3 linked regions of the Oryzias latipes genome follow. The main gene of each other region encodes a partner of the protein of the gene in region 2 in a complex. Links are inferred from orthologs where the notes say so. Each region holds a gene or a part of one and is shown on either strand. Other genes may lie near its edges. The genes, in order: rrs1, heatr3 and rpf2.

Region 1 (7,634 bases), on a different chromosome or scaffold from region 2:
AATATTTCCTGGACCAAAAGCCTGGAAAAAGCTGCAGGTGTGAAAAAGAGTAGGCATGAGTGCATTAGCTTTATAGATCGGTGTGCAGATTGTGTTGAATGGAAAAACACAAACATTTTATAAAGTTTTTTGTTTTTTGCTGTTCCGGTGTAATTCAGTATTATTCTTTTTTTTTAGGTCAAAGGTTAAAATGTGGGCATGTTTTTGTTGTTTACCGTCACTCACAAAAACTCAAACAATCTTCCAAATAAATTAAAAGCCCTTCGATTGTTCCAAAATGAACAGACAAAAGCCATTTGTATCATTTAATTTGTAATTGTAAAAGTGTGTCCTTACACATTGACTACAGAATGTTGAAATTTTCACTTTAATACACTTTGCTGTAGTGTTATTGAGCATTGTTGCATTTCCCTTTTATTTTTTTTATATCTGTGCAACAAAAGTTTTAAATACTTTTAAAACTTATTAGTAATTAACTGTCACTGATCCACTAACCTGTCCAGGGTATATCCCACATTCAACCAAAAGTCCCGTTGTGACCCCCAAATTGGATGAGGCAGGTTTGGAAGATGGATGGATGGATTTGGCCCAATAATTAAAATGCAACAGACATGTCTTTGAGATGAGGCAGTAGTTTGTTAGAAATCTACCTCTTAGTTGTGGGCGAAACCATTGGTGCACCCCCACATCCCATCATTTCTCTGTTTCCACTCTCTACCACTATCTTACAGCCCCTCCCAAGCCCAACCTAGTATTAGCAGTGCAACAGAAATGGCGAGCAATCTTAGATCTATCTAGCCATACAGTTTGGAGCCAGATGCCAGCTCCGGCGAGGAAAACTAAGACGTACATGGATTTGGTCGTCCAAGGTGGGATGTATCGGAATGGAGCTTGTGGCCCGCCGATTATAGCTTCTACGTTACACCTACGAGCTTTTTAACACTGCATTTTTTTGTCTGCTCCTGTTTCACAGCAACTTGAATAAAGAAATGCTCAGAAATGCAATGGTACGCTTAATTTTCTTTATATAAGTCCTTCATCATGACCCCAAAAACACAATTTGAGACATCATTTGTGTCTCTTTGGAGGAAATATATCCGAATGATCCATGCACATTCAGTTTTTTGGGGGGATTTTCAAGTTTTATTAAAAACATTAAATAAGTTGGCCTAGTTGTTGTAGAGTTCTGGACCTGTTACATCACAAACACAGATCGTCTCCAAACTTTCCATTTTTCCAACAGATGTGCTGCATCTGTTGCGTGATGTGTTCATCTTGTTTTTATAGCTTGTTTTTCACTGTCTCTTATACTTGAGGGAGCATGAATTAATGAACATCTTTGAACTTTGAAGACTTCAGGCACATGAATATGACGGATACTCCATGATTTCCATGTTAAGCTGCGGAAACAAACTGTTTGCTACTTCTGCTCATTGCAAACGTGCCGAAATACATTACATTACATGTTAAAAAGTCATCTTTCACTTTCACAAAATATTCAAACATTTTAATCTGTGTACAATAAACTGAGCTGTAAAGTTATGATATGAGGAAAATTTAAAGTAAACTGTTGTAAAAATCCCTGATTTAAAAAAGAATATCTAGTACCTATTTCGAATTGTTCTCCTTAAATCCAACCTCCTTAAATCCAGTTTCTAATGAGCAAACAACATCTGTTGCACTGGACAATTACTCTCTGACATCAGGATTTTGAACTGCAAAAATGAAATCCAAAATGTGTCTGCCACATCAACTGCACCAACCCGCTAACAACATTTTGAAACTTAGCAATTGATGAAGAGTTTTGCAAAGTCAACAAGAAAACAAGCCCCTCATAATAAACAAATCCCCCCCTAGGATGTTTGAAATGCAACTAGAACAAATAAATGTTGAAAAGCTTTTCTTAATCAGGCTGCACACAGTTTATTTTAGTGTAAATTTGAACTCTTTAACATGGAAGTAGATGGACAGTTGCTCCCTTCTGTGCAACCAGTCTCCAGTGGTCTTTTGAGGAACTGCAACACTTCCTGCTTCAGATGTGGGAAGGAAATTGGAGGCTTGGTAACACCTTAACCATGCATAGACACTATTGGCTCCATGAAAAATGCCCCTACTAAACATATCAATCCCATCAGTCTGTCTCCATCAAAGTGCCAATCTGTCTCCATCAGTTTCCAGACAATCACTCCAATTAGAAAGGATTATTGTTTCCTAAAGATGGATTGATAAGATATTATGGAAAACAGTTCTCTCATGTGTGATTTTTTTCTAGACTAAATTTAGCTATATAAAACTTTTTTTGAGGATATAAAAAATCCGATTGACCTCTGATTGAAGGATCATATTCAGTTCCCGCACTAAACTCCACATTGTTCCTGGTGGTTAGACTTGGTTTGGCGCCATGTATGTAGCAGAGGCAGCACCAGTGTGGGAATGTGAGTGTGTATGCGACTATAAAGCGCTTTACACTTCAATTAAGGTAGTGAAGCATCATATGATGAGCACCATTTATCATGACAGTTATTGTAAGAAGGTGTTTGCAAAAGTGTCCTGCGACAGACTGGCGACCTGTCCTGGGTGTGTCCCACCTTCGTTCAACAGTGGCAGGGTTAGGCTACGGCATCCCCATGACCCAGAAAGGGTTAAAGCAAGAAAAAGAATGGATGGCTAGATGTGTAAAATTATTTTTTGATATTAATATTGGCAAGAAAAGTCATAGAAGTTTTACCTTTTTTCTGAGAACAAGTATTCCCTTAGTCAGGTGTGTATTGTAGCCATTTGGCTAACATTATATATTGTATTTATATTCCATGCATGGATGCTCCTGTCCTGCCTTGGTCATTTAGCCATTTGAGTTCCCTGTTGATGGGTGCATTTTGGAGATTGCCATGTCTTTATTAACATGCGTTTGGATTTTAGAACTTTGGAAGCATGACATTATATTATTCTTAGGCCATGTTCAGACTTTTGAATGCTATTTTGGGGGGTTTTATTGTAATTTTTCACTGTTTGAGTTCACAAAATATTTGACAAAAAAGGAAGAACATTGACCGTTTCTTATGAAGCAAGCATCAGATACGAGGCAGTTCCTGTTCCCCAAAACACCTGAATGACAGCAGTTATAGTGTTTTGTAACCTACAAAAAATATTGAGGGATAAATTAGGCTTATATTTTTTAAAAGATTAATATTTTAAGCTCTGCCAGGTGACACAACTGAAGGAAACCAAAATTATCGATGCCAACTCACTTTAAATGTGTATTTAAATAAATATCACAACTGAATGTCCATAAAATTCAAAAACAAGTATTGCAAACATGGTTTTATTTTGAAAAATTTTGCATATTTCTTAGCTTGACTGTATTTTGACACATAGAGTTGAAATTTTGTTGAACTGTCACCGATGAACTGTAACTGACTTTTTACCCCAAAAAAAATGCGTTTACATGTTTTTTTCTGTCTAGTTTAGCTAAATATATATCTTTTTAAATAATGTATATACACCCATCTGGAGCTTCTGTGACTGTCATCATCTGTGGTTTGATGTCTGTAGTCCACCTGTTGAAGCGCCCTAAGGCTACAGACTGAACTTAAACTTGACCCTAGTGTTCATTGGTGTGAAAAAGAGAAAAGAGCTTAAAAATGTTGCATGAATGTGGCATGAATTTAGATTTTTTTTATTAATATAGTGTATTTTATGTGTGTGTTATTATAACAAGTTGTATACATTGCATTAATTTGTTTGTTTTTTATTCAAATTTAAATGTCAAATTAGTGGAACAACATTGCCCTCTGGCAGCCAAATTCTGTATTATACAAGAAAATAAAACAACACTTCCCCCTGATGGTTACCGGTGGGAATTAGGCAACACTGCCTCGTGCGGTGAGACAATGAACTACACCGTGACCCGGAAGAAGACTCCTGTTGTTGCCCCACGTGTGTAGTGGTCGAAATCATGGCTGCGTGCAGCGTGGAGGAGCTGTTAGCGAAAGCCGAACAGGAGGAGGCTGAAAAACTGAAGACCATCTCCGTCCAGAAGGAGCTGGATTTGGACTTTGACGTGGGAAACCTGCTAGCTTGTGACAAAAACCGCATCGAGTCCAGGGACTTCAAAGAGCAGAATAAGGAAGACTTTCTCCGGTCGCTGGCCCGCGACAACACGCAGCTTCTTATCAACGAAATCTGGAAGGTGCCGACCGAGAGGGTCGAGGAGGCGATCGTAGCCAAACTACCGGAGCCGACGACCCGGTTGCCCAGAGAGAAACCTCCTCCGAAGCCCAAACCCCCGACGAAATGGGAGCAGTTCGCCAAACTGAAAGGCATCCAGAAGAAGAAGAAGACGAACCTGGTGTGGGATGAAACGGCCAAGGAGTGGAGGAGGCGCTGGGGCTACAAGAGGGCCAACGACGACACCAAAGACTGGCTGATCGAGGTTCCGCAGACCTCCGACCCGAACGAGGACCAGTTCGCCAAACGCGCCCATGCCAAGAAGGAGAGGGTGGCAAAGAACGAGTTCAACAGACTGAAGAACGTCGCCAGATCTCAGAAAATAAAAAACCCCGGTGTGGGGCTGCTACCCCGAGCCAAGCAATCCAAAGACGAGCTGAGCAAAGCTGTGAGCGTGGCCAAAACCTCCACGGCATCCGTGGGCAGGTTCCAGGATCGCCTCCCAAAGGAGAAGCCCCCCAAGAACGCAGGCAAGAGGAGGAAGTTTGAGCCCCTCATCGGGGACTTCTCCAGCGAGAAGCACAAGCAGCTGGAGCTCCTGAAGGTCATGGACAGCAAGAGGCCCAAGCTGGACATCACCAAAGCCGTCAACAAACAGATGAGAGAGGAGGACAGGGAGGAGGCTGCGTCCAGGAAGAAGGGAGGCAAAGGGGGAGCCACCCGGAGGCCCAAGGGGAAGGGGGGCAAAGGAAAAGGAGGCAAAGCTGGAGGAGGGAAGAGGAGAGGGAAACCTGGGAAGCGCTGAAGAAATTCTCTACATCCTGCTGCTGCAGAGCTGAACTCTGAGGACCGATTCCTGCTCCCCATAGCTTTTTGACTGTACTGTTGACAGAAAAGCAAATATATTCTACAATTTAAATACAAAAGTCTGCCGTTTCAGTTTTTTTTTACCTCCAATAAATGTCATATGGTTTTCAAAAAAAACTTATTTCCAATGAAAAGCTAATTTTAAGATTAAAAGAAATTCTGTTGCATTTTTCTCATGATGGAGGACATAAATAAAGAAATTTTAGATTAAAACTGCATTATTGAGTATTTCTTTATTCAGATCCTTGTGAATCAGGAGCAGACAGAAAATGCTGTTTGATAAATCCCTCAGTTGTAACGTAGAAACTGAACTGGGCAGACCAAAGTCTCCCTGCTCCGCCTCCACTTGCACACAAAGATGTAGAGAAATGTGAGGCGCTGTAATCTAGTGGGAGAGCGTGTAAACATGGATGACGGAAAGTGGGGGTGGACATACTCTGCAGCAATAGTTCCACCTACTGATGAACTGCTGCTCTGCACAAATTCTTCTCTAGAAAACAGCATTTGATTTTTCTATTTAGCCTAAAAACGGCATAGTCATAGTTGAAAAGACCGCTAGGAACACCCTGACAAAAGCGGATTGGAGTGGGAATTTAAAATCAAACTGGAATAGAATTGCTTTCTTTTTTTATCGTAAATTGTCTCAAGAAGGCTGCCTATTTTTCTTTTGAAAAGTACATATTTGCAGTTCTTTTTTTAAATATCTGAAAATTTTTATTTAATCTTGATTGTTTTTATTTATTTCCAGAGAGATCCTGTAGTAGATTTGTTTTCACAAGTCTGAAAATTATTTTCTTTTGTTTTTTAAAAAGAAAAACAAGCATTTTATTATTTATTTTTTTTTAAAAAGCATGGAGTGGCAACACAAGTGGGTGTCATCTGGCCCATAGCATAAACCAGTCATGTCCAAAGTCCGGCCCGTGTTTCAGTTTCCCCTCATAAAATCAATAATATGCAGCCCCCAGCATTCTCTAAACAATATGATTTCTTGATGGTGAATCACAATACTTAATTTATCTCAGAGGAAATTGTATTTTCAGCAGAACAACATGCACAAACAAGGAAAAGCTAATATACAAAAAACAGTGCAGTGCAAACTTAGAAGTGTGTAAAATAAACAATGTAATACTGTCAGGTGGTTCTAAGAAGAAAATTTCACCTTTCCAAATCTGGCCCTATGCAAATAGTATGGACACCCCTGTTATAAACCATAAAGTAAAAAAAATTATAATAAATATCTTTAGTTTTTAATGACACCACATGATGCCATTTCAAGCTTGGCACACATGAAAACATCTAAATATGGAACAGATTTCCTGTAGCATTTCGTAATAAGCTTCTCTGTCTTCTGCATCATGTCTGAACGATCCATGCAGTGATTTTCTGACTAACAAATGTTCTGAGCTAGCGGATGGGATCTCTTTGCACACTTTGAATGATTTCCGATTTCGGAGAGGGAAGCCTAATTTCATATCCTTTTATGGATCATCAGGTTTGTTTTGTTTTGTTTTTTTATAATCATGCAGTCCTGAGCCTTCTTCCTGAACAAAGTTTATTCCTTACCCTTGTCCATTGAATGCAGTCATATCTGAGTTTTTCTTATATGCTTCTTTTTTTCCAGACAAAATTGGGTGAGAGAGCCCCGGTTCAAATACCTGCTGGGATTCTTTTTGTGTGGAACTCTTCCTGTGCATGAATAGGGTTTTTTTTGGACACTTCATCTTCCTCCCACAGTCCAAAACATGTTTCATAAGTTAATTGGTGAGTCTAAATTGTCCCTGTGATAGCGTGGTCCTGCTACAGACTTGTGACATCAGGGAGTGATCTGCCTTTGCCCAGCAGTAGCTGGGTTGGTTCCAGCAACCCTGTGATCCCGAAAGGGATTCAGCCGGTTCAGAAGATTCTACTTTATTTATTAATAGACCTCTTTTCCTGTTGCAGAACACCTTAAAGTGCTTTACATGAAATAAATGATGTCTAAAAAAAAAACAATAGTAATTAGAATAAAAGCCCCCAACACACTTACAGATTCTACTAGTACAAACAGGGAAAACAGTTTATAAAATCATATCAAAACATAAGGAAATGTAAAAACTTCTTAAAAACTTATGTCTAAAATGATCAATTCTTTCTTAAAAACCTCCACAGTGGAATTAGGCCTTACATCCTCACGCAGGTCATTCCACAGGAGAGGCTTACATTCCTGGAATGACTGTGGACTTCTGGGACCACTAGCATATCTGCATCATAAAATAAAAATAATTCTGATAAAAAATGGATGGTTAGATTCCATTAAGACATTTATAAACTAATTAAAGGATCTTGAAATCGATTCTAAAGCTGACTGGGAGCCAGTTTCTAAAATGGAGTAATGTGCTCCTTTTTTCCTGATTAAGAGATGCACAGCTGAGTTTTGAACAAGATGCTGCCAATGAAATTAGATTTTTCTTAACACCAGAAAGAACCATAATCTATTTTAAAAATGATAAAACCATGAGTTTATATTTCAGCATTGGCTCTGGAGGGGAAGGGTCTCACTCTGACCATATTTCTGAGATGATAAAATGCAGTCTGTGTAACTTGGCTTGCGTCTGCTTCAA
Region 2 (8,667 bases):
ATTTATACATTTACTATTCAACCTTTCTTGGTACAGTTTCTTTTTCTTCAGTTTGGTAAAGAGTTCAATATTCTCTATTTTTTAGGTGGCGGTGAATTGGATTGCCTAGTTGCTTTGGATGTTTCTATAAAAATGATCGGTATTGTTCTCAATTTTTGTTGTTTGGGAATACAGTAATAAAACCAAGCCGTCAGGGCCAAAAAGCTTTATTTTGACGGCTAAAAGCACAGAAGGATAAGTGACTCCTGCTCTTTCTGGTATTAAATACATATCAACTGCCAAACACTGCTTCAACATGTGTCCAAGTTTACTTACTACCACAAAAACAACTTAATAGGTTGTGAAAATGAAATAGCTTTCCTGTTTTTGTATTGTTTTTTTTCTGTTAGTTTTCAGGTCTTGACCGGTTCAAGACCTGGCTGAGCAGCTGTCTTTCTGTCTGTAATGCAAACTGCCTCCAGACAACCTGAACCCCAGCACCAGCAGAACAAATTAATAGTTATCTGCAAAAGTAGTTGGATCCAAATGTCGGTCCTCCCTGAATATGCATGTTCAGATCTGCATATTTCCCAGCAAACTTGAGAACAGGATGAGACAAACCCTGACCAAATGCCTCGTTGGGTTTAGCAAATTCATCCAAGTGGAAAAAGACATTTTATAAAATTCACTAAAGAAGTCCTTTAATCCAAAGGATTGAATCTGAATCTGAACATACTTTAGTTTACGGCTAGGCAGCCGTGGTAATTTGGTTACTTTTTGTTCCCAATAGTCAAAAATCTCCCAAAAAGTCAAAAATCGTGAAAGCAAGCTTCAAATTGCAAAACTCCTCACATGTTCTGTTGACAAAAATCCTGGAGTTCTGAGGTCACGGCGATCTAGCTTTTTTTAACACAAACCTTTATCGGTTCATTAAGTCTAAGGGGACATTTCTGCTAAATTTAAACCTTTCCCCTCAAGGTGTTCCAGAGTTCTTGAGAATGCAACAGATGGTCAATCTGAACTGGAGGTGCCTTCAGTCCCTGAATGGGAAATCTCAGAGTTAGAGCTGAATTTTAAGTTTGTTACCGATGGACAAACAGGTTCTTAACTGACAGGCACGGAGGAGGAAGTGTAGTAGTCTGATGATAATGGATTTTCAAGAACTTTTACTCTGAAATTAAAGCTGTCATCTCTGCATTTTTACATTACTCCATCAAGAAAATGACTCAAAAACTTTTAGGCTCTATGAATAAATATGAAAGACAGATTTGAGACTCTTTGGGCTAAAACCCAGCAGGTATTATAGCCAAAACACTGAATTAAATCTGCTTTTATTCAAGAAAACATAATTAAACATCAATTTACTTGTTAAATATTAATTTTAGACAATTTCTATTGATTGTCAAATACTTTTTCCACATAGGTAGCAACTAAACTGGAAAAAAAATTAGAACTTATAAAGAAAAACTAATGGGATGTGTTGGGAAAAAAACATGAAACATGTCACTTTAAAAAAGAAATCGTTGGATTTAATAGAATTAATATTGCATTTTCTAAATTAAAATCATATCTTACCAATAGATTTCTTTACACCCTGAGGCAGTAAGCTCGGCACTTTTTAAATGCATACCCATAATAGACTAAAATAACCTTACAAAGTCAAGTTATGCTAGAATGCTCACACTATCACAACAGCATTATGTCAAATATCAGTTTACAGAAAGAGAAGTCAGTATTTTTTTCCTGTGGAGCCCATATTTAGACAGAGGCACCAAAGGGCCCCACATTTGACAGGTTGAGTACAGCACTACAGTGTCAAAGGAAGGTCAGACGGGATGCATTTTTGTCAAGTACGGTAATTAAATATTTCAAATAAGCTTGACAGCATTAACTTAAATGAGCCCTTTTCTGTTTTGAATGTGGAGCAGTGCAGAGTAAACGGCTGTTTTGATTTTAAAACTGAACACCACAAAAAGATTTTACAACTTCATTCAGTAAGTCCTGACAAAATCCAGATCCAAAAGATCTGCCTCTGAATTCCCCAGAGGCAGTTTCAGTGACCTATCAAACTTTCATGACAATAATCCAAACTTCTCAACAGAGCTGTGAACACAAACAAGTTTAGATCATTTTAAACCTGTTTAAATACAAAAGATGGGGTAGAGCAGATTTTGTCTTGTCCAAATGTTCGCCGTTTGATTCTGGGGTGAGATATAAAGTTTTTATTCAAATGTGTTTAGGGTTAAAAGGACTCAGCCCACTGAGAAAGATGGCGAAAGAACAGCTGTGAAAACCGCAACTTTTCAGTTTTAGTCTGTGATAATTACAAGAAATGAGAACAATCATGAATAGAGAGATTAAATTTGATCATATGTTTCTGTTTCTTCGGTTTCAAGGTTAAATGTCACCAGATCTAAACTCACAAAAAAAATATTTTCATAAAAAAGAAGAAAAATTAGGAATAGTTTGTGGGTTTTAGGTACCTGCTGAAACAGCCAATTCCACATTACGTGGGTGCCTCTCCAGACACTGAGCAACAAGATCCAGGAGACCTGATTTGTTGAAAACAGACAGCGCCTGGCTGCTGTTTTCACTGGAAAAGAAAAGGACAACTTGAGGTAAAAATAGCAGAAGCTGCAAAGTTTTACAAACTTTGTTAAAGACCCACTCCATTGAAAATTGTGTTTTAACATGTTCTTGTGGCACTTTTCCTGAAAATGGAAGGACATATGTTGGATTTCTGAGTATTTCTTTACTCACATTGTTTGTCAAAAACATTTTTTGGAAAAATTGCTTATTTGTGGCGTCGCAAATATACTGGGCGGGCCACAAGCTTGCTCCAAGCTCTCGACAATGATTTTGGCGAAAAATGGCATAATTATAGTTAAAAGACCACTGGGAACACTTTTACAACAGATCAATAGATGACCGAGTGGGTCTTTATTGAAAAGCACTGGTAGGAAAGGGTGTCATCGAAAGCAGCACAACTTCCTGGTTTACCATAGGTTCCACAGCAGGTTCACCGCCTCGTTGGCAACATCCTCCACAGCATTTTTCTGTTCCTTCATCGTCACCACGGTGCTGTCAAAACCTGCGCAACACTGGACGCAAAACAAACCTGCTTAAAAAAACAAACAACACTTTGTTTTTAACACAAATCCAACACTGACCACAGCTTCTAATGCAGACTTCCCTACAACAAAAGCTAGACTTTAACGGCTCCAGTTCTTGACGAGCTCTTCTTTTTTACGAGACGGTTTTGCTTGCGCTGTTGAACGACACTCAACTGCGGCGGCCACTACAGCCTCCCGTGACAGCCCTTAATGAGGAGTGTGTGGAGGGAAGCCGACAGCTCTCACCTCTGTCAGCAGCGCTGTCACAGGAGTCATGATGTCTTCCTTCACCATGTCCTCGCACACTTCCTGATTTCCACATGCACTCAGATTCCTGTAAAACACAACCGAGACACATTTGAAAAGTGCTACTTTCACTGCATGACCTTTTATTAAAGCATGGCGGCCCCCGCTGAAGCGTCAGATAAGTTCAAATGCCATTAAATATTAGTCATACTAAGCAGCATTATGTGCTGCATTAGGACATGAAGAGTTCCATTTAACCACCAGTTAACTCCCAGTATATGCAAACTCTAACATCACTCCAGTTTGTGTTGTGGCTTATTAAGGGGTGAAGCCAATGAAATATGAGTGGACAGAAATATGAGGATCCTCTAACAGAAGAAGTCACAGGTCTGTGAGAGCCAGAAATCCTGTGTGTTTGTAGGTGACCAAATACTTATTTTCCACCGTAATTTACAAATAAATTCTTTAAAAATCAGACAATGTGATTTTCTGGATTTTTCTCTCTCATTTTGTCTCTCACAGTTGAGGTTTACCTGTGATGAAAGTTACAGCCCTCTATCATCTTTTTCGGTGGGAAAACTTGCACAATTGGTGGCTGACTGAATACCTTTTTGCCCCTCTGCATATATCAACAGTTAAATTCAAAGTCCCTTTAGTTGTCATGCACTGGCATTGGTCCCACTTTTAGATAGAGTCTGAGGTATGACTCGGCCGTGGATTTGAAGTCATAACCTTCCAGCCTCAGGATGGACACTACCTACCACAAGGCCCCTGGGCTGGTAACAGCTCTGGTATCTTTTGGAGCAAGTATTTTCAAATACAGCTCACGTCAGAGCATTTTGTGCCACATTTTAATATAAAAATAATAAAATAATAATAACTATAAACCTGGATTAATGGTGAATGTCTGTTAGAATAGAGTGTGAGCATTAGAATGAGGAATGTTCTCCAACAATTACACAAAGACAAATGGGATAGGCTCCAGCAACCGTTTGAGCCTCATCAGGACGTGATCATAAAGGACATTTGGGCGCCTTCTATTCTCAAAATATAAAGCATAATCATTGTTAAAAGTGATTTACAGTTGATACTAACTGTATTTTCTTATTAAAAAGATTTTAAACTGAATGACAGTGTTGTTTACAGGTTTATTTATGCCTCCACTCCAGGTAAAGATTTGATTGTTTTACCTGAGCGCCCCGGCGGCAGTCTCCCTGACAGCCAAGCTGTTGTCCAGCAGCAAGGGGCCCAGGCGCCGGACAGCATGTCTCTGGAGAAAACCGGGGATGGTCTGGCTCTGTTGGACCACCCGAGAAATGCTGGCGCACGCAAACTCACGCGTGTCTGCGTTCGGGCTTTGCAGCTGAGGAAACACACTCTGTGACTGTCGGAACGAAGTCTACAGTAACTCTCCACGACAACACGTGGATTTACCATTTACGTGACCATAAACATCTATTTTGAAAAGGACACTTCAAAATGGGAACAACTGGAACCCAAACGAAAAATGCATAACACCTTTTCCAGTAGCTCCGCGGCTGGAGAGCAATCTTCACCGTGGTCTTCCTCCTCTTCGTCAACTTCTTTCACGGCTTTCACCGGCAGCCCGACGGCGTTGAACTGCGGCCGTTTAAACTTCGTGGTTTTACTTTTACCCATGACGATCAATGACTACCTATACATAAAACACGATTTTAAGTTCGCCTTGGTTCACTCTTACTGACGATTTTAGCTCAAACTCCGATCATGCCGAGTTGGAAGCCATGTGGACGAGTCTGCCGTAAAGCGATCCTTGCCGATAGAAGACACTGTCGTAAACACCACAACTGTTGTGGCGACAAAAAAAACAAAACCAGTTTCGCACCAAACCAAAGTCCCAAATATTGCATAAACAAACACACAAAAATTCACACATTGTGCATTTATTAAGCAAATAAGTTTTAAAATACAAATACTCAGATAAAACACATAACAGAAATCTGAATAAACACATCTGCACTCACACTGAATGACTAAAATACAGTTGAAGATTTTGTGAGCATGTCAGCAGCTTCAATTCCACACTGAAACACAATTTTTAAAAACTCCAGTTCAGTCTTTGCTTTGTGTTGACAAATTCCACCTCAGCGCTGCCCGGAAAAGTTGAAAGATTCAGAGTTTGTGATCATACTTTAAGTCATTGTATGTAGTTACTGGATGCTGGGTCGTGGTTTGAGAATGAGTTTTCCAGTCTGTACATAAAGTAAACAAAAAAACACAATCAATAATGTACCAAACAATGGGTTTTAATAGGAATGCAGTTTAAATAAAAAAAGATGAACTCACATCATCACAGGACATGTTGTATTCTGCTAAAACCGTGCGACAGCGAGCAGCGATTCTTAAAAGGGCAAAGGTCAAAGATAACAATTGAAAATGGGTTTGTTAAAGAAATCTAAAGAACTTTGTATATTTTTATGGCTCCTACAGGTTTCTGTAAGTTAAATCTGAGACTTTTAAGGACATTTTTAAACATGTATTTAATATCCACTTCACAGCCTATTTTCAGGCCATATTGGCAAAAGGGAAAGAGCCCAAAAAAAGAGCCAGAAGGATGTTTTTTTTTTTCATGTCAAACCAGGTCATTATAAAGCTGAACTTTCCCATAATACTCATAAACCACCAATTCTGTTTGCAATCTCAAAGTTTGCAATAATTGGTTCCTACTTTGAACAGAAATTGTATAAAAGAACCGTTAAAGAAAAAGCCTGGAGCAAGATTCACGAGATTTCAGATCTCAGCTTTGACATTTCACACCAAGCCTCTTCTAACTGTGAGTACATGCAATAAGTACGGGGTAGCGACAGTCCAGTGTGAACACAGCATACTATAAGCGTGTTCAACGAACCTGCGTTCAACGGCCCACATGCCCAGTGTGTACATAGCATAAAGGTATTTTATCTAGTAAGACCCTGTTCTTCAGGGGTCGCAAACTGGTAGCCCCCTAAGATGATGTATAAGTTTATGATATATTAGTTTTGTCTGAATGACATTTCTACAGTGTTGTGTGCAAAGCTGACGAGCCAAACTATCACAGTGGGGTATATGGCTCTTGGGGGCGTGGCATTGACCGCGCCTGATGGTTGCACGCAGGGAAACATTTAAAGCAGGAAACCTGACACCCACCTCTATTTAACATGGGACCACATGGAAGTTACGTTGCTTGATGCATTGTGATTGTAGTCTACTCTAAGATAGATCTGATCTGATAGAGACTGCAGTCCACGTTAATGAATTTCTTCCTTTTCTTTTATTTCATGCGTAACGCTTGTTCCAATCTCCAATGAACAGCGTCCATCCTCTTACTACCCACAGTTTGAATTCAATTATAAAAATATAGTAGTGGGTGACTGGCTTCTCTAATAAAACTTGTGACCAGGGTTAAAATGTGCCCTCTAAAAAAATTGAAAAGACTGGATTTTGTTAAATTTCTGATTCAAATTGCTATCGGCTCCCAAAGCCTCAGGAGGACTCTGCTTTCAGTGGCCCCCAAGGTAACCTGAGTTTGAGGTCCCCTGCTGTACTTAATCTGTATGACAGAAAAAGCTTGACATCTACAGCACAAGTCAAAGGATACATTGATGGAGCCACGACTCGTTTGTGGATTCCAGCAAAAAACAGAGCTATTAAGGTGATGCAGCTGATGGTAAAGAATGGATGGTTCCAAAGTGACGATAGGAAAGAGACCTGCAAAACAAGAAAATATGAAATATTAATACAAAAAACACTAAGAAAAAAATGATGAATAATTTGCTATCAAATTTTATGTTGAACAAAAGACAAGTGGATATTTCAAAAAATGTGCTTCAATGATTACACCTCGTATTAACTGTGCGCTAAAATAGGTACAACCTTCAAATGTATCATCCCAACACTTCCTACTACAATACTGTTCCAGAAAAACTGTAAAGTAAAGGTGTTGTGGTCAACTCCAAAAATGTTTGCGTAAACTTAGACTAACCACATCATCTGTTTTGCTGTGAATACATGTATCACATGTGGCTTGTTGTTCACAGGCGCATACCTTCTGTGTGTCTGGATCTATTAACCAGTTCCAAGCCCCAGTTGCCGTACAGACTGATACCACTATCAGAATCACTGAAAATGAATGACAGCAGATTCACACCAGCTGAAACAATTGAAATTTTTGAAAAACATTGTGGGACAGTGTAAAAAAAAAAAAAAATGAATCGAAAAAAGACGACAAAGAAAACTCAGCCTTTGTGACTGAGAGCAGCAAGAAACATACCTGAGAGAACTACATAGGCCAGGACATAAATGCCCACATAACACAGTAAACCAGTCTGAATACTGACAGCACACAATCCAAAGTTTTAGCTCAATTCAAAATATCAAATTGAAAGCTTCCTTCCTGATTTTTTTATTGGCTTTCAAGAGAAATATCAACTTTAGAATTTAAATAAACAAAAACAATAAAATACTCCAGATTTTATCATTAATTATAACAGTTACTTACTTCTCCACCTGCCTGTAGCTGGTTGCAAACAGGAGACATATTCTGTCAGTCTTCTTTCAAAGGCCTTTAGGTCTATAAAAACACGTTATGGAGGGATAGTTATCGAGTATCAAGTAGTAGTTTCACCTCATAACAACTGTGATGAAACTAAGGTTATCTTTTAAAAACTTTTAACAAGAAACCTCAACAGTCACGTTAGCAACAAACACCGATAAATTACCATTCAAAGACAGAACATCATTGGTTCAAATATATATGCCTAAACCAAACAAGCTTACAGACACAGATCACCGCACATCTTATCTGTCAGTGTGAGGATAGCAAACAATGCTATATGTCGCAAATTTAACGACACGTTCAATTACAAATGGCGTCTTAACTCACACGGTTATCCTTTATAGATATTACGTCATCTTTAAATCGAACATGTAATTACGAATGAAGTTATTTTAAGGTTTACACTTTATTTTACCTTCGGCCTGCTCTAATGAGTTCATTTTCTTCTCTTTCCTCCTCCTTTATTCTTCTTCGTGTAGAATCCTCCTCTGGTTTACTTTACGTCGCTGTTGGCAAACTACTGAATGACTCATTACCGCCACCAGCCGACAAGGAGGGGAAACATTCATTTTGCACTTTTTGTAATTCAAAATCAAGGAAATGTGCTTGACAGTGTACTTTGTGCTGCATCTAGTAAAATCATGTATATAAGATTGAATTTAAAATGTAAATCTATAAACTATTCAAACTCTATGTATAAAGCACTTTTCATATATAAGCATGACACAAAGTGCTTGTGTATACAGTGCCATAATA
Region 3 (8,513 bases), on a different chromosome or scaffold from region 2:
TGTATGGAAACACATTTATGACAGTGTGGTATAAAGTTCTAAAAATGTTCTATTAGTGTTATTTAACTCTATGCGTTTATTTTAAAATATTTAACGCCCCAAACCGGCTTTTTATCTGAAAAAAAAAGAAAAGAAAAACTCTGCTCATCCATTCCCATAAGAAACTTTAAGACCAACATGAATGCATTGATCATGGGAGCCATTTGTTTTGTTTGAATTTATTTTGTCAAACTTTTACAAGAACCTCGATGAGTTTATTCCTACATCACATCATCTATGGTGATAAAAACCAGGTTTTATCCATGTTACGGAACAAGAGCCATAAAAAGGCTTGAAACTGAGGAAAGGACTTGGTGAATTAAAATGTTCATGGAACCTAAAGACTTTCTGCGGTTGAGGAATCATCTCGGTGGAGAAGACGCCTTCAGCTCTCCACTTTGGCCACTTTGGGCTCAGGCCTTTGCTCCTCTTCAGCCACCACCTCGCCCCTCCTCTTCTTCAGACCCCTCAATTTACGCGTTTGCAATTTGGACAAGTCCTGCTTCTGCATGTGAACCCGGCCGAACTTGGTACCAAAGGCATCATGGGAAATGTTCTTCTTTTTCTTGGGCTGCAGAGTAAGAGGATAATTTGTTAGTTTCTTTTCTGAAGAAAACAGTCAAAAGACATTTTCCTTCAACTCCAACATTAGAGGTGGTCACTTTGATGCATCATGGCACTTGTCCTCTGGCGCCATCTTCAGTACACATTTTGTATTTCTCAATAGTTTGTTCTGCAGGAGACGCTTCAGATTTGCATAAACGATTAAAAAGTTACAGTACTTGAAAGAATGTCAATACTGGAGCTCTGTTGTTAAATGTTTCAGCTAGTTACCGGTTAGCATTCTTTAGAACTGCCTGGCTCGCAGGTTGAGCTTTTTGGCACTAAGCTATGGTGGGATCAAAGAGCAAAAGGTGCCGACGTCACCTAACGGGTTCATTCATGGCCTCCACCCACCTTCAGAGCTTTAGGCTGCCTGTGAGCTAGCTTGTAGAGGTCGTCTGAGGCCAGGTGAGTTCTCCTCAGCACCAGGTCCATGGAGGGCCCGATCTCCTCCAGCTCGATCCTCGGGACCCTGCAGCCGGACTTCTTCAGAAGACACCTGTGGGCGGACAGCACCGTGAGCCTCGGAGCGCCCCCTCCAAGGCGAGAGCAGCCAGTTTGAAGTACCTGTAGCTGCGCAGGTAGATCTTCCCGTCCACAGCAGTGAAGTGCAGAACGTGCTCCAGACCGGCCAGACGGACTGCAGGGACTGTGGGACCTCTGAAGAAATCTGAATGGGCGTAGAACCGGGTCAGAACATATACGCGTTTGACCTCAGACCTTCATCGTCTTCCTCACATCTTACCTATTAGCAGACTTTTGAGGCGTTTGAACTCGTTGTCCATTTCAAAAGCTTCTCCTGCAAACACCAGCATGGGTTTGGTTCCTTCAGGACATTTACTGATCTGAACCAGAACACAAACGATCATCAGGAATCATCAACAGACGCAGAAATCAGGTGAGGAGCAGAAGAGCGCTGAAACTCAGAAACACAACAAATCCAGCCCTCATCAGAACCTGAGGTCCAACCAGAAGATCCAAAAATTTAAGAGTTAAATGATGACAAAACACTAAACAGATCCTATAAAAAAATAAAAACAGAAAATGGTGATGGCTTCAATCCAAGAGGGAAAAAATGTCGGCTTGTTACCTTAAACTCACTCAGAGAGACAAACTTCTCAACTCCAACTTCAATCATGTCCAGAACGTGGAAGTCAAAGAGTCGACCTGAAAACCAGAGGGACATGAGGAGGTTATGACCCAGGAGGAACAGGAACATAGCAAACAAGGTTCTACCCACACCTCCTTTTAGTTTCTGCAGCCGCAGCTGCAGCGGCTGAGCATCAAAAACACTGGCGGAAGACGCTTCAATCAAGTCTAACATGTCCAGCTTACCTCCATAAAATCAACCCAAGAAGAACCAAATCAATGATAATCATCCTTTTATTAATGATCAAATCGAACATATTTTTTCTTTTTGCTAAACCCTAAAAAAAGCTAAATACCTTAGCAACAAATAAAAACATTTTTCCTCGAAGACAAAATAGCATAAAAAATACAAATTTTATATTTTAGACTGATATTTCACATTTTTTGGTCTAAAACTAGTAAATCAATGTTAAAACTAGGAATAAAAGGAATCAATTTTCAATAAATTTTCATAAAAAACTACACAAAAAATTGTCTTGATTTATAGTGAATTTTCCCGAGAAATAGGCTTTCACAAAATCACAAATTTATTGTTGTAGCAATATCAAGCTGTGCAAAACGTTTGTTGCAAAAGACGGCGAAAATTGTGATCAACGGTAACCTTAAATGTGTTAAAACAATCTGATGGCACCTAGAAGAATTTCACAAATCAAATCCATTCATGCATTTGACCAATCAGATGGACTCCTTCACGTTGTTGACCAATCAGATGGTTGATTTGCTATCAACCTGCAACATATATGGACCACTAATTTCGTGAGTTTTCCTCAAATCAGGCAGCCCTACCAACAAATATTATTGAAGACTGAAGAAAAAAAAAGTATTTTCAAACAGAAAAATACTGTTTGCCGTTCAAAGGTTGGACTTTTTAACCCCTTCATGTTGCTGATGTGCAACGTCCCATTAAATCCTGGACTGCATTTAAATTTGCATTAGCTAGAATGGCAAAAACATTTCATATAATCTGAAATAAAGGGAAGCATGAAAAGGTTAATAATATAAATTAGCACTTATTAATTTATTTCAAACCATAATTTGTATACATTTAGATTTACTGTGTATATATTATCATTTTTCTAATAATTATTATTTTTTAAAGCATTTTCTGCTAAATAGATGATATAATTATGGGATTTTTGAAAGATTGAACAATTTTCTCCTGAAACTGACCTAAAAGTCACCAATCAAAACATGTTTGTATATTTTAATAAGCTTCTCATGTCGTATAATTGTGTCAAAAGGCCCAGCGGTCCTCCTCCGAACAGGTTAAAGCAGCAGGATTTACCAAAAATTAAGTTGTTGGGTCGTTTCTTGTTGTGGGAGCCGAACAGGAACAGAGAGCAGTCGCTCTTCTTGGAGAAAAACTCCTAAAAAAAAAAAAAAAGTAATAGTTCAAATTTAAGACAAAATCTCCTGGGACACTCGAGCGGTAAGAGAGGGTCAGAAATCTCACCAGAGACGTGGAGTCTTCAAAAGGTCGGGTGATGTTCTTCCTGAAACACAGACACCGTTTCTTCACAGAAGTTCTGACCCGACGCGCTGTTCTGCTTCTAAATGTTACACTTCTGTTTTTACACTCTAGGGCTAAAACTTTCAAATTAAGAGCCCTGACGTGACTAAAAGAGGCTTTTATTGTCTAAACTGTTGTTGCAGATCAGACAAAAAAATCCAGAAAAGAAAGAAAACAACAACAGTAAACTGTTGTTTTGCTTAAAAGAGAGTGGAGGTTTTTTATTTTTTTAATCAACATAAATAAAATATTTAGAAAAAAACTTCTTCCATAAATTACAGCCATTCAAAAGCTCCTCTAAAGTCAATATTTGAGTTTTCCAGCAGCTTTAAACCATAAATAACATCAGAAAATGATCTGATGTTTTTCAGATTTCAAAAAAGTGATGTTAGCAGCATCAGGAAAATATTTAGACAATTTGGCCATAAAGTTTAGGATTTGGATTGAATTATTTTAGCTGTGTTGCTGTTCTTTGACAGGCTTTATGATTATTTTTGTAAGTTGGCCATAACCTGATCTAAAAAGGCCTAAAACGTTCGGCTTGTGGTGAAAGTGGATCATAGAGCAGCTCGGATTGGAACTTACTTCTTGTAGAGCACGGCGTTGGGCTTCTTCAGGGAGTACTGCAGGGAGGAGGACAGGGCCATGTTTACTTCTTCATCATTACTTTCTTCAAAATCCTGTTTTTAACATCTTCTTGCTCCCTGCTCAACATGCAGACCATTAGATCGGTGTGCGGATTTCCTCGTCTGAGCTGCAATCTGGCTCTAAACTGCTCCAATATTGCTAATATAATGTTAGCTTGGGAGTATAAGTGGCTGTAAGTTAAAGCGAGAGGGTAAACAGAGAGCTCTCAGTAACAGGGAGGAGTGGAGGGCTGAGGATGCATCATGTTAACAGCCACAACTCAGAGGCAAATTTCGAATGGACTCCTGCTGCTCTGCAGAAACTAGGTCCTAAAAAAGGACACGGGTTCATGATCAGAGGGAGACTTTAGGGATGTTCGAAGTCACTCACGATGTCTTTGAGGGCCTCAGTGACCGTCTGGTTTGTGTTGCCCCCCTTCATGATCATGACGCTCTTCACGTTCTCCAACAGTTTGGGTTCTCGGGTCTCCAGGAAGCGCTTGGAACGCCTCGTCTTCGGTTTTCTGAAAACACAGCAAAACCCCCGAAGAGTCTGAACATCAGTTTCAGCACCAGATTGATAGAAATCAGGCAAACTAATGACATTAAAATCATAACATGAATGCAATTATAATATTAAATAAAATGTTACTCAGATATAAAACTTTAAATTTTAGCTAAGTTTTCCAACTAAACTTAAATCTGGAATTTGCCCCAGACATTTGGACAATTAAAACATTTATTCATTAAAACACTGAATATGACATCACTCATTTGCTATGATGTAAAAGCATAATAAAAACAAACATTTTTCAGAGACCATTTATGTAATCAGATGATGCAACTTAAATAATTTAGAATGAATACATCATTCAAACATAATTATACTCTCTAATCTAGTGAACATGGATTCACACTGTTTTTTTTTGCAAAGACTCCTAGGAAATTTCCAGGCCATTGGGTTTTGGAGTTGAAGATGTATAAATGGCAAGCGCCCTTAATAGGGAACCAATCAGAATTCAGGTGATCCAGTCACCTGAGACCGCCTCAAACATCTGTGAAGGAGCGCTCTGATCTCAGGAGGAACACAGAACCTGCACAGTCAGAACCTTTCAGTGGAGCTGGGGGCTTCAAATTAATGTGGAGGTTCATGGAGGTCTCCAACCTCCAGGAAATCCCTACAGACAAGTTCTGGCGTCCTCCTGGTGAGCTCAAGGAATGTGGGAAAGCTCAAACGGTCCAAACCTTAGCGCGCGAGCGGTACTCACGTGATGCCGTCTGAGTGCGCCATGTCCGTGTCGCGGTTCGGTTCGGTCCTGTTCTAAGTCTGTGGCGCCAGCAACCGGAACCTCCACGTGAGGTTCTGTCCGGTAGAAAAACACACGAGGCTCTCTTCTTCGTTTTTAGTGGAGTTTGCTCGTTGCCGCCACCTTTTGTCTCAGTGCAAGAATGCTTGGAGTCGCTGAAAATTATACTATTTGTCCGGCAGGGGGCGACATTTACCACCAAATATAAAGAAACGCCGAAAAGGTAAAAAAAAACTTTTTACATTTAAAAAAAATATTTAAGTGTTTATACTCTCTAAACGGGAAATTTTTATCACGATGGTACATAAAATAATCCCAAAATAATATTTCTTTTGAATACATGCAAACATTGAAGCACGGGAACTGATTGATGTTCAACTCTGACCAAACGTGTGGAAAATCTAGCAAAACCTGAAAATTCCCAAAAAATCTTCTGAGCCAAAGCTATGCCGATCCATCAACAATTAGTTTAAGCAATAAACACAACTGCAGCACACCTGCAGCATCATGGGAAATGTAAATTGGCTTGATGTGGCCATGCAGCCTTAAACCAAACCAACTGCTGTTTCATGTTTATGGAGATCAGTTTGAATAAGATTTGAGACAAGAGGCAAGCAAAGAACAATTTATGCTTTTAGTCATTAAACTCTGTTGGGATGCTCAAAAGAACAAAACAATCAGATTAAAGAGAAAAAATCCTGGAGATGCCATGAAAAAAAGAAAGATGTTCTTCCATACAAGAGAATAAAAAACATTTCATGTTCATGACATAGATGTCAGATTCCTCCCCCTAATGTATTTTCCAAAGAAACCCAGTATCATGGTTACATCCGTTTTTCTTTTGTCTTTACAATTGTTCTACTTCGTGAAATTCTTTCCTCCTGGAAGACTTTCTGATCCCTTGATGTCAATAAAATCTTGCAGTGTGATCAGTCAAACAAGCTAAAAGGGGCTCCACACCAAAAGCAGGGTTGGTTGTCTCAGCATTCAGTTAGTTAAACATCTATGTTTGTCTAATATTCTGCTTAAGAGGAATACTACAATGTTTCAAATTTGTCAAGATTATGAAATTGTTTTTTTGTGAAGGACATCAGTCAATCCTTGTTATTGAGAGATATTTGTACACGGCAGCAGTGGATGCAGTTTATTTTGTCCCAGACGGACATTTTTTGCTCCCACTACTATGGGGGACAGATTCATGTGAGTTTAATTTGCTACAAAGCCTGGTCTTTTTTTTTCTTTTAAAACCACCCAGGAGTCTGCAGAAAAAATATTCTGTCACATTTGTATTTATAAAAAATTTAAAAAAAAAGAATTAGAATAGTAGTGCGTGTGCAGGAGATACCATAAGTGTTCACATAGTAATGTTTTACTGCAGGAACAGTTTAAAATAGTTCACAAAACTATTTCTAGCTCAATCGGGAATTTTTTCGAAAGGAGAAAGTGGTGGGAAGGTGGGAGCAAATCAAATGAAAGCAGGCAGGCAACTCCCGACAACCAATTGGATGAGACAATGAAAGTTGTCGCCAACAAGAATGTGACCATTTGGAACAAAAGCTAAACTAAACTATGTCCTAACATTTCAGAATGAGTCTTTAAACATGTTAGGCCCCCCCCCCAAAAAAAAAAGCCTAAAACACAAAGTTATCCCTTTATGTTTATTGAAAAATCTGAAAGCTTAAGAAAAAAAACTTTTGTATTAGAATCTTTCAAGATTCAAACTCAGAATCCAAGTTTCAGGCTTCAAATCAGAAATACACTCTGAGACAGTCAGAGGTTCGACACCTCCAAGTGTTTTTAATCAAATGCCTTTCAGAGATTCTTTATTCCACAGAAACTAATGAAAGTTTAATTAAATACTAACTCCAATAAAACTTTAATGTCCTCTGTAGAACTTTTCTGCTGGAGGACGAATATAAAGAAAACTGAACTTAAATCTGAATTTGAGTGTTTGAGTGAATCAGGAGCAGACGAAAAAACCTGAAACTTTTTGTGACAAAAAAACTCAGGGCAGACCACAAACTCTCTGCTCTGCTCCATTCCGATGCATCCATGTGCAGACAAATGGATCCAAGTACGTCTTTGTTTTCTGAGCTGGAATCTGGGTCAGAACTGTAGCTCCAATACTGCTCGCCATTTTTGTTATGTCAGGTTGGAGGAGTGAGGGGATGCAAGCTCACAAGACAGCAAACAGAGCTCAGTTATGGGTGATGGGAAGAGGGGTGGAATTGCTTCACACCATAGGTCCCACCCTCATCTCACAGGTGAATTTTTAAATAAAATACAACTGCTCTGCATGAACTATGTCCCAATAGGTTTAAAATTCCTTTTTTGTTAAAAAAAACTAAAAGAGGCAAACTAAAAAGAGTAAATGAAAAGTCTAACATTTTTGTTTTGGAACCAGCTGATGTGGGACGTTTTGAGAAGAACCAGACCAGCAGCTTCACAGATAGTCATTTATTGAAGCTCATAGCACAGATATATTTAGCACAGATTGACCAAGGATCAGCAGAACAAAGTGAAACAGCAGAGTCTCCTACAGTGTGTCCTGACGCATAACTGCACCCTCTCACCTGGGGGGAGGCATCTTGACCCCCACCGCCCCTCCTCATAAAATGAAGGGGGGGGGGGGGGGGGGTCCAGAAATCAACCGAAAAACGAAGTGGAAGTACAGCGACTGACGGACGGACGGGAAGGTTGGTCCAGAGCAGAAATACAAAAGATTTTGTAGAAAAATCCAGAAATTATTCTTCTGTAGAAAAACAAACAAACACAAAAAACCCACCCAATCGGGGCGACGTGTGCTTAACCCAACCACCACCAGGACCACAGCCGGTTCTGCTGGAGAAACCCAAAGTTCTTCAGCAGAAGAGGCCGGCTGTGGCTGAGAGAGGAGGTCCGGAGCAGAACCTGGTCCTAAAACCTGAGGGGAACTCGCCCCAGTTCTGGTTCTTTGCTGGTCCAGTCTGAGCCGCTACGGCGCCCACAGTGGGACGGAGCTAGGAGCAGGTTCTGTCGTAGGGCGGGACCTGAGCTCACAGCTGGGGGTGGGATTAAGCACAGGTGAAGCCGCAGGAAGAACCCCTCCTCCCCTGAAAACGGCGACAGCTGGTCAAAGCGAATGAAAAGGCGGCGAGAACTAGAAGTGGCATGCGTCCGGAAGAACCCCGCCCCGCGCAAAAAAACTGCTGGCCTACAATATTTCCATTGATTCACTGCAAAAAAAGATGGGGGGGTGGTGGGGGCGACAGGCAGCATGAGCAGAGCTGTTCAGCAGCG

Evidence for each region.
Region 1: heatr3 (region 2) and rrs1 share a complex: the UniProt entries of both Homo sapiens proteins name them as parts of the hexameric 5S RNP precursor complex. The link is inferred for Oryzias latipes from reciprocal best matches to the Homo sapiens genes HEATR3 and RRS1.
Region 3: heatr3 (region 2) and rpf2 share a complex: the UniProt entries of both Homo sapiens proteins name them as parts of the hexameric 5S RNP precursor complex. The link is inferred for Oryzias latipes from reciprocal best matches to the Homo sapiens genes HEATR3 and RPF2.

What each region holds. Positions count from the first base shown.
Region 1 is NC_019878.2:17,064,287-17,071,920, reverse strand, and holds rrs1 (ribosome biogenesis regulatory protein homolog), read left to right. Parts: upstream 1-3,885; 5' UTR 3,886-3,955; coding exon 3,956-4,972; 3' UTR 4,973-5,093; downstream 5,094-7,634. UniProt on the Homo sapiens protein: Involved in ribosomal large subunit assembly. May regulate the localization of the 5S RNP/5S ribonucleoprotein particle to the nucleolus.
Region 2 is NC_019861.2:30,452,734-30,461,400, forward strand, and holds the start of heatr3 (HEAT repeat-containing protein 3), read right to left. Parts: upstream 5,138-8,667; 5' UTR 4,998-5,137; coding exon 4,857-4,997; intron 4,702-4,856; coding exon 4,529-4,701; intron 3,427-4,528; coding exon 3,339-3,426; intron 3,081-3,338; coding exon 2,980-3,080; intron 2,573-2,979; coding exon 2,463-2,572; intron 1-2,462. Other genes in the region: cnep1r1 (nuclear envelope phosphatase-regulatory subunit 1), read right to left, coding at 5,528-5,569, 5,664-5,718, 6,955-7,064, 7,402-7,475, 7,855-7,926, 8,327-8,351. UniProt on the Homo sapiens protein: Plays a role in ribosome biogenesis and in nuclear import of the 60S ribosomal protein L5/large ribosomal subunit protein uL18 (RPL5). Required for proper erythrocyte maturation.
Region 3 is NC_019882.2:10,336,437-10,344,949, forward strand, and holds rpf2 (ribosome production factor 2 homolog), read right to left. Parts: upstream 5,340-8,513; 5' UTR 5,219-5,339; coding exon 5,196-5,218; intron 4,452-5,195; coding exon 4,319-4,451; intron 3,925-4,318; coding exon 3,887-3,924; intron 3,285-3,886; coding exon 3,245-3,284; intron 3,159-3,244; coding exon 3,077-3,158; intron 1,810-3,076; coding exon 1,733-1,809; intron 1,488-1,732; coding exon 1,388-1,487; intron 1,313-1,387; coding exon 1,210-1,312; intron 1,142-1,209; coding exon 997-1,141; intron 611-996; coding exon 425-610; 3' UTR 183-424; downstream 1-182. UniProt on the Homo sapiens protein: Involved in ribosomal large subunit assembly. May regulate the localization of the 5S RNP/5S ribonucleoprotein particle to the nucleolus.